2 linked regions of the Saccharomyces cerevisiae S288C genome follow. The gene in region 1 interacts genetically with each later gene. Each region holds a gene or a part of one and is shown in the gene's direction. Other genes may lie near its edges. The genes, in order: YBR096W and RSF2.

The links.
Region 2: mutations in YBR096W (region 1) and RSF2 together harm fitness less than expected from each alone (positive genetic interaction), as found in Saccharomyces cerevisiae (one large-scale study listed by BioGRID).

Annotation. Positions count from the first base shown.
Region 1 is NC_001134.8:434,160-437,213, forward strand, and holds YBR096W (uncharacterized protein), read left to right. Parts: upstream 1-1,861; coding exon 1,862-2,554; downstream 2,555-3,054. Other genes in the region: PBY1 (putative tubulin tyrosine ligase), read left to right, coding at 1-138; RXT2 (Rxt2p), read right to left, coding at 247-1,539; ubiquitin-binding serine/threonine protein kinase VPS15, read left to right, coding at 2,792-3,054.
Region 2 is NC_001142.9:657,871-664,938, reverse strand, and holds RSF2 (Rsf2p), read left to right. Parts: upstream 1-1,879; coding exon 1,880-6,022; downstream 6,023-7,068. Other genes in the region: EFM3 (protein-lysine N-methyltransferase), read left to right, coding at 1-939; YJR128W (uncharacterized protein), read right to left, coding at 1,659-2,018; VPS70 (putative zinc metalloprotease), read left to right, coding at 6,250-7,068. UniProt on the Saccharomyces cerevisiae protein: Transcription factor that regulates expression of both nuclear and mitochondrial genes, and more specifically those required for glycerol-based growth and respiration.

The DNA of each region.
Region 1 (3,054 bases):
AACCTCATTGATGAATTATTTGATGACACTGTCAAATACTGTGTTACCCCCATCTTTAACGAGAATAGAAATAAGACAGATGATGAAACAGACCCGAACTTCGTAAAAGTCATTGATTACACTTCAAACGGTTGGTGAAACAAAAAAAAAAAAAGAACCCATCCTAAAATACTGTTATTATTACTAAATAGTGCTAAATAATACATATGCCTTGATTTTATTTCCGAAATTTTTTGTTTTGTCAATTTAGGCTCTATTAGCTTCTTCATCAGGTTCATTATCGTCTACAACACCGTCTTCCATGGTATTTTCAATTTCTTCCTCAAAATTTGTTGTCTTATTTGTTGTAGCACTGATCAGACCTCTCTTCACAACACGTAGAGCCACCGGGATAGTAATATCATCGTCAGATATACCCAAATATTCCCGACTCCAATTTAAAATCCTACCTCTTATTCTATTGGCTTTTATTACAGACTTTCTGATTTTTTGTAAGTTTCTTATGAATTCTTTATTCCTCTGTAGTGCAATCTGCGACAGCTGTCGGGCAGACTCAATTTCCTCATTTAACTGTTGTTGTTCGGCCGCTGTTAATGTTGATATAGAAGCAGAACCGGAAGAAGATGGCAGCAACGATAACAGCGCATTAGATTGTTCCAACCTTGGCAATGCAAAAAAAGGATCTTCCTCTCCAAATTCTTCCATGCCATTATTGATATGACCAGCTTCAGTAGACAAACTATTCGAGTTAACCTCGTTGATATTGTTTTTGTTGTTAATGTCATCCTCGTCGCTTGCCCCTCTATCCTCTGGAAGGGTCAAATTGTGATTATAAGATGGTAGGTTCAAGTTAGATTCATAAATTGGTTCAGGATGATCTCCTAAAAAAACCTCCAAAAACTGGGAATATCTAACAACTGACATCTGTTCTTTTTCAATCATTAGAATTATTTGCAAGGCTAAATTTTTCAAAATTGGGCTTGAAAATGTCCTTGAGATAGTTTTATGATTTATTATATCCCCTAGGGAAAGAATGGGAGTCAAAATCTCCTTTACATTCACTAGTTTTGATAGGTCGTCATCGTCTTCTTCGCCGTAATACTCATCAGTGATATTTTCGTCTTCCTTCTCACTACCATCGATGTCGTTTTCATCACCGACTAAAACAGGCTCGACGTTGATGTCAGGTGTGAATTTTATTCTTTTGCGTCTACTATCAGTGACAATATTTGTTTGCAGAAGGCGATGCTCCGAACCGTTATAGAACACAGTTTGCTCAATCATTGGCTTAGAATTGTTCAAGTCTCTTCTTGTTACTACTTCGCTTCTCTGCAAAAGTTTGTTACCTCTGTTAGAGGATATGCCAGTGGCCTCAGGATAGATTAGTTTTCCATCAAGGGATCTTTTCAGTACCTGATAGTTACCGCTTTTTTCCTTTATTATCCTTCTAGTAAATGTGCTAATTATATTCGATTCATTAGCTAACACACTCTTGCTTTCCAATTCTGCGTTGTTTTTCATACTGCTCCTAATAGTCATCTCGATCAACAAGAAGCAACAGCTGAGATATTTGTTTCTCAACCTCTTTTTTGCAGGAGATGCTGTCATCAAGCAACGTTTCTTCTATTTGAAAGCGATTGTTTTACCAGAACAAAGTTCGCTACCCGGCTTCGGTCCTCTTGGGTATAGGAGACAATAATGATCTTCGAATAACGCCGTTATAAAGTGAACATTATAATTATCCGCTTAAAGGCTTTTTAGTAATTTTGTAAAACAATTGCTTCTAATTTCAAGACTTCCAAAAGGTTTCTCGAGTAACTAGTGCTTTCCAATATCTACAACAAAATAAAATAATAGAATAATGGGTGTTTGCACTATTTTTAGGTGGCTCTTTGCTGCTTACTTGCTCTCTTCATATAAGTCGCTTCCTGGGGCATATTTTGTTAGGTTTTATTATTATGTTATTCAAAACTTGTTCTTGCCTATGTTTACAGGGTTTGAAACCGAGAATATTAAGAAACTTGAGAAAAATGAATATGGCTGTTTCTCGTACACCAGCCTAGATACCTATGCCTCTCCATTCGAATGTGACTTCTACTTTCATAAGAGCAATAGCACCTATTTTGCGGAATTGGACATTTCAAGAGGTAATCTCATGTGCAAGATTTTTCAAAAATTGATGCTGAATTCCAAGCATTATCCATATATTCCAGTTGCGAACGTTTTCACTAATTTCTTGAAGGAAATCAAGCCTTTTCAAAAGTACTCGGTTTCATCAAGGATTATCTGTTGGGATGAGAAATGGATTTACGTCATGAGTAGATTCACAATTAAAAAGGGCACCGTCTTATGCTCATTATCATTGACCAAATACGTCCTTAAGGACGGTAGAAAGACCATCAAACCAAAGGATGCTCTTGAATACTGTGGTTTATATAATGAGAAGGTCGCCAAAATTTCTGAGGACAATCTAAAGCTTTTAACCGAGCGTTGTGGTTTCCACGAGACAGTACCATTGGAAAACTTGAGCCAAGAGTACTGTTCAGAAATCTAACTTCTATACACATATAGCCGGTATTATAAAATATATAAATCTATCTTCTTTCAAAAGTTTCTCTGTGCAGTCTGCGTTATATTTTATCTTCGGTAGAAAACAAGGTAAATTTCCCTTATTTTTCAACATCATAAAAATGAAAAACAGATATATCTTAAGTAAGATACTTAAGCAGACAAGTTGAATTGGAGAAATACAAAAGCTGTAAGGTTATCAAAAAGGAAGGCATACAGTATAATGGGGGCACAATTATCACTAGTGGTCCAAGCATCACCTTCCATAGCCATTTTTTCATATATCGATGTCTTAGAGGAAGTACACTACGTTTCACAGTTAAACTCATCAAGATTCTTAAAAACATGCAAGGCACTGGACCCTAACGGCGAAATTGTTATCAAAGTGTTTATTAAACCAAAAGACCAATATAGCTTACGACCTTTTCTCCAACGTATAAGGGCTCAATCGTTTAAGTTGGGACAACTACCGCACGTTTTAAACTA
Region 2 (7,068 bases), on another chromosome or scaffold:
TCTAACGATGTCCTGCATGCATCGAGATTTGTTTGTGAGATGGAACTTGTGCAAAAGACGAATGCATATTATTGCAAAACCATAGTCAAGATGCTCTTAGACCACGAATGGATTTTCGCGAAGGCATTCACAATTGTCAACGATGGCGAAGACGAGATAGAGATATATGATTATCTCTATGAGAAGTACATAAAACTATTAAGCACAGGCAAGCCAGACCCGATGATGAAAGACGTCGTGAGGTACAGGTTTGACGAGGACGTAAAGATCAAAATTGAGGAAACACCGAATTTGATCAGTGCGGCCAGTACTACAGGTTTCAGGACATGGGAAGCTGCCTTATACATGGGTGATTTCCTTATTCATAAGCCCTTACAAGAGTTGGCACCGGTACAAGGACAAGACGATGGCAAGAAAAAATTAAATGTTCTTGAGGTCGGCGCTGGCACAGGCATAGTGAGTCTCGTCATTTTACAAAAGTATCACGAGTTCGTAAATAAGATGTACGTCACGGATGGTGATTCGAATCTCGTTGAGACGCAGCTGAAAAGAAATTTTGAATTGAACAATGAAGTGCGTGAGAACGAACCAGACATCAAGTTGCAAAGATTATGGTGGGGCAGCGATAGAGTTCCTGAGGATATAGATTTAGTAGTGGGGGCAGATGTTACGTATGACCCAACTATCCTTCCTGATCTATGCGAGTGTCTGGCCGAATGTCTTGCTTTAGACCGATGCAAACTGTGTCTCCTATCCGCGACAATTAGAAGCGAATCCACTGTCCAACTGTTTTCTCAAGAGTGCAATAAACTCGGGCTAAAATGTACCATAGTCACCAGCACAGAGTACGACGCAAACAACGAGATCCGCGCGATGAAAGCCCTGCAATTCAAACCTTTGATTGCACCCATACGGATCTACAAGATCACGAAACAATAAGATACATGTGCAAGTACAAGTTCAAAAATAAAACATAACTAAAAAAAAAAAGAAAAAAAATATAGTCATCTTCTGACACTCGAGTCTCATTCAGCTAATCAAAACAACTAGCAATCCACTCGAGTTCTTATAAATGACCCGGAAATTGATCTCTCCACATTACGCTTATCACGAATAAGACCGAGTGTTCAAATAAATAGCTCGATCTTCGTACTGTCTAATGCGGTGGATTAGTACTTTAGGACAAAGTTACTTTTTTTCGGAAGGAAACTTCAAAAATAGAATTAACAAATAAGAAGGAAAAGCGAAAAACAAATCTCATTGCCTGTGCTTTCTTTTATACTTTTTTTTTTCGCTCGGAACCTCTTGCTTATACACGGTTTTTTTCCACGGAAACCTCGGTTACCCTTCAATTACTGGAACGTTAGGGCACAATCTAACAAATATATATACTGGCTTACAAGATGTAACAAACTACGAATAGTGGTACGAAGCTTATCACATGCACCATTATCTGTAACTGGGTTGCCGCCAACAGCAGACTCATGGGCTGGTTGAAAAAATCTTGGAAAACAGAGATAAACAGCTCGGCAGATAACATTTCCTGCGACCTTAATGCTGCGTTAGGTGTAATTGTCGCAATTTGCGGCCGGCCATAGTTGTTCGTGCTACAATATATGGAAGAAGCAACTGTTTTTGAATCAACGGTAGTAACGACCTTATATCATCATACACGAAAATACGCACAGACGGGGGTGAACCACTCCAGGGGCAGAGTAGAGTGTACAAGGAAAATTGTGATCTCGCCGCACGGTGCTGCATCGCGGAAATTCTCCGTAGGGCAACGGATAAGGTAACTGCGTATGCGGCATCGACAATAGGTAACTACGCGAGCAACTTCTATTAAGAGAAATAATTTTTGGGAAATGGCCTGTTTCGGATGGAACCGTTCGCATTTGGACGAGGGGCGCCTGCATTATGCATACTAACCGCGGCCGCTCGAATAAATCTGGACAATTTTGTTCCGTGTTGCTGGGCACTTTTCCGTCTGTCTTTCTTTTTCCCGCTTGACCCTGCATATATTAGAAACGAAAACAAAGAAACAAGGACTTCTTGGATTTCCATAGAGTTTTTTTTCTTCGTTAAACATTGCCTCTCTCAACACACGTTTTTCTCGAAGACTCTTGCACCAAAAAGAAACTTTAGGGCGAAGAAGCTAAAAGACATTGGCGATACTAGAATAGATAGGGCAGATAAAGATTTTTTATTAGTGCCGGAGCCAAGTATGTTTGTGAACGGTAATCAATCTAATTTCGCTAAGCCCGCTGGTCAAGGTATTCTGCCCATTCCTAAAAAATCTCGAATTATTAAGACTGATAAGCCAAGACCGTTCTTGTGTCCCACATGCACTAGGGGTTTTGTCAGGCAGGAGCATTTGAAGAGACATCAGCATTCGCATACCCGTGAGAAACCGTATCTTTGTATCTTTTGCGGTAGGTGTTTTGCTCGTAGAGATTTAGTGCTCAGGCATCAGCAAAAACTTCATGCTGCTCTTGTAGGTACGGGGGATCCACGGCGAATGACGCCAGCACCAAATTCGACTTCTTCTTTTGCCTCCAAGCGGCGCCATTCCGTGGCGGCGGATGATCCAACCGACCTTCATATCATTAAAATAGCCGGAAATAAAGAGACTATTCTACCCACCCCGAAGAACCTTGCTGGTAAGACATCTGAAGAATTGAAAGAGGCCGTGGTTGCCTTGGCCAAATCAAATAATGTAGAACTTCCCGTCTCGGCCCCAGTAATGAACGATAAGCGAGAGAAAACTCCTCCTAGTAAGGCAGGCTCCCTAGGATTTCGAGAGTTCAAGTTCAGCACGAAAGGCGTGCCAGTTCACTCTGCATCAAGCGATGCTGTTATCGACAGGGCGAACACTCCCTCTTCCATGCATAAGACGAAAAGACATGCGTCTTTCTCTGCATCCAGTGCAATGACTTACATGTCTAGTAGCAATAGCCCCCACCATTCAATTACCAATTTCGAGCTCGTTGAAGACGCTCCGCATCAAGTCGGCTTTTCTACTCCACAAATGACCGCGAAGCAGCTCATGGAAAGCGTGTCAGAATTGGATTTACCTCCGTTAACCCTGGACGAACCACCGCAAGCTATCAAGTTTAACTTAAATCTATTTAACAATGACCCCTCCGGACAGCAACAACAACAACAACAACAACAGCAAAATTCCACCTCTAGTACCATAGTGAACAGCAACAATGGAAGTACAGTTGCTACACCTGGAGTGTATCTCTTAAGTAGCGGTCCATCTTTAACCGATCTTTTGACAATGAACTCTGCACATGCAGGTGCGGGAGGATACATGTCTAGCCACCATTCGCCATTTGATTTGGGCTGCTTCAGTCATGATAAACCGACAGTTTCTGAATTTAACCTTCCGTCAAGCTTCCCGAATACTATACCGTCTAATTCTACTACGGCTTCTAATAGTTACAGTAATTTGGCAAATCAAACTTATAGGCAAATGAGCAATGAGCAGCCGCTTATGTCACTATCTCCTAAAAACCCACCAACAACTGTTTCAGATTCCTCTTCCACGATCAATTTCAATCCAGGCACAAATAATTTACTGGAACCATCAATGGAGCCCAATGATAAGGATAGTAATATCGATCCTGCTGCCATAGATGACAAGTGGTTATCAGAGTTTATTAACAACTCTGATCCAAAATCTACCTTCAAGATCAACTTCAATCATTTCAATGACATTGGGTTTATTTATTCTCCACCTTCATCAAGGTCATCTATACCAAACAAGTCACCTCCAAACCATTCTGCTACCTCATTAAATCATGAAAAAGCTTCTTTATCACCTCGCTTAAACTTGAGTTTGAATGGAAGCACAGATTTACCAAGTACACCACAAAACCAACTAAAGGAGCCTTCCTATTCTGACCCTATTTCCCATAGTTCTCATAAGAGGCGTCGTGATAGCGTCATGATGGACTACGATCTATCCAATTTTTTCAGCTCAAGGCAATTGGATATTTCCAAGGTATTAAACGGGACAGAGCAAAATAATTCTCATGTGAACGACGATGTTCTCACTTTGTCTTTCCCCGGCGAAACTGATTCTAATGCAACACAGAAACAGCTGCCTGTTCTTACTCCTTCGGATTTGTTATCTCCGTTTTCTGTCCCTTCAGTATCTCAAGTGCTTTTTACCAATGAGCTAAGGAGTATGATGCTAGCCGACAATAATATCGATTCAGGAGCCTTCCCCACAACTAGTCAATTGAACGATTATGTGACTTACTATAAGGAAGAATTCCATCCATTTTTTTCATTTATTCATCTTCCTTCTATCATACCTAATATGGACAGTTATCCCTTGTTATTATCTATCTCCATGGTCGGAGCATTGTATGGGTTTCATTCGACGCATGCAAAAGTGTTAGCTAATGCAGCTAGCACCCAAATTAGGAAAAGCTTGAAAGTTAGTGAGAAAAACCCGGAGACGACAGAGTTATGGGTTATACAGACATTAGTATTGCTAACGTTCTACTGTATTTTCAATAAAAATACAGCCGTGATCAAGGGGATGCATGGTCAGTTGACGACTATTATTCGTCTCTTGAAGGCCTCTCGTTTAAATTTGCCCCTAGAGTCCCTATGCCAGCCGCCTATTGAGAGTGATCATATTATGGAATATGAAAACAGTCCTCATATGTTTTCAAAAATAAGAGAGCAATACAACGCGCCGAATCAAATGAACAAAAACTACCAATATTTTGTATTGGCGCAGTCACGTATCAGGACTTGCCATGCGGTATTACTTATATCTAACTTATTTTCTTCACTGGTAGGTGCTGATTGCTGTTTTCATTCAGTCGATTTAAAATGTGGTGTTCCATGCTATAAAGAAGAATTATATCAGTGCCGAAATTCCGATGAATGGTCGGACCTATTATGTCAATACAAAATAACGTTAGATTCGAAATTTTCGTTGATTGAATTGTCTAATGGTAACGAGGCATATGAAAATTGTTTGAGGTTTCTTTCTACAGGCGATAGTTTTTTTTACGGAAATGCTAGGGTTTCGTTAAGTACATGTCTATCATTGTTGATATCTATCCATGAGAAAATACTTATTGAAAGAAATAACGCAAGGATCAGTAATAACAACACCAATAGCAATAACATTGAGTTGGACGATATTGAGTGGAAGATGACTTCCAGACAACGGATCGATACAATGTTAAAATACTGGGAAAACCTTTATTTGAAAAATGGTGGCATCTTGACACCTACCGAGAATAGCATGTCAACAATAAACGCCAATCCAGCAATGAGGTTAATAATTCCGGTATATTTGTTTGCCAAAATGAGACGGTGTTTGGACCTGGCACATGTTATTGAGAAAATCTGGTTGAAAGATTGGTCCAATATGAATAAAGCTTTGGAGGAAGTTTGCTATGACATGGGTTCATTGAGGGAAGCTACCGAGTATGCACTGAATATGGTGGATGCGTGGACTTCATTTTTTACGTACATTAAACAGGGCAAGCGCAGAATTTTCAATACTCCTGTATTTGCGACCACATGTATGTTCACTGCAGTATTAGTGATTTCGGAATACATGAAATGTGTAGAGGATTGGGCACGCGGGTACAATGCCAACAACCCTAACTCAGCATTATTGGATTTTTCGGACCGTGTCTTATGGCTAAAAGCAGAAAGGATTTTGAGAAGATTACAAATGAACTTGATACCGAAGGAGTGTGATGTGTTGAAATCGTACACTGATTTCTTAAGATGGCAGGACAAGGATGCCCTAGATTTGTCAGCACTAAATGAAGAACAAGCACAAAGGGCCATGGACCCGAATACCGATATAAATGAGACAATTCAACTAATTGTAGCGGCAAGTCTATCCTCCAAATGTTTATATTTGGGTGTTCAAATATTGGGTGATGCGCCAATTTGGCCTATAATATTATCGTTCGCTCATGGTTTGCAATCAAGAGCTATCTATAGTGTTACGAAAAAAAGAAACACTAGAATATAAGTCCGATTTACAAATATATAATGGCGGCCGTCTCTATACTATAGTATTTACAGAATTAAAGCTTAGAACTATCATAACTTTCATAATATACCACCAGGCTTCAAAAAGGCATTGTTCCATTCGGAGTTTGCTTGAGTTTGATGGCCCGGGTAAAAAGGTTTGACAAGGCAAGGGGCCGTACTTATTAAAACAATTTCAACATGCACAATTAAGAATGTAAGAGATATATGAGAATGATACAGAGAGAGAGAAAGAGAGAGAAAGAGGAAGGTCAATTAAAGGAGAGAACTGTTGTTAATATGGCAGACCCTGATGACAATGAGGCCGAAGCCACTGGATTACAACAATATAGTGGCGAGACCACTCGCGATGACAATGAAGAAAGCATGAATGATTCTTTCACTTTAACATCCAGGAATAGAGGCAGAAGTAATACAATATCTAGTATTGTTAGTGGTTATGAAATAATGAAAGAACATATGGACAAGGAAAAGTTTATGTACTTGATTCTAGCGAGTCTCCTTTTGTACATGGGATTTGTTGCCGCATTTGCTCCCAGGACGTCTTTATCAAGAGACTTTCGGCGGTTTCACTCTTCCAGATTGACGAATGCAGAGGTTTATAGGATATACTTGAACTCCTTGCAACAGGAAAATAGAGCGAAAGAACATGTATACAAGTATGCTGGGTACATGAGCAACGGAGCAAGTGATTCGTCAACGTTTAAATATACCTTGGACGAGTTTCTAGATATGGGGTACAAACCCAAAGTTGAAAAATATTACCCATGGATAGGTGAACCAGTAGACACTAACGTAGCTCCTTTAGAAAATGGTAAAGTGGTCTACGAAGCAAGCATGATCGAGGATAGAGTTAAAGGTGATCCTGCTTCTCACGCTAGGAAAAGGCAAAAGGGTTTCCATCAATATTCAAAAAATGGAAGTGTAACTGCTCGATACGTGTTTTGCAATTATGGTAGCATCAGTGATTACAAGCTACTTTTGAAGAAAAACATTGATATTGAAGATAAAATCCACATCGTACGA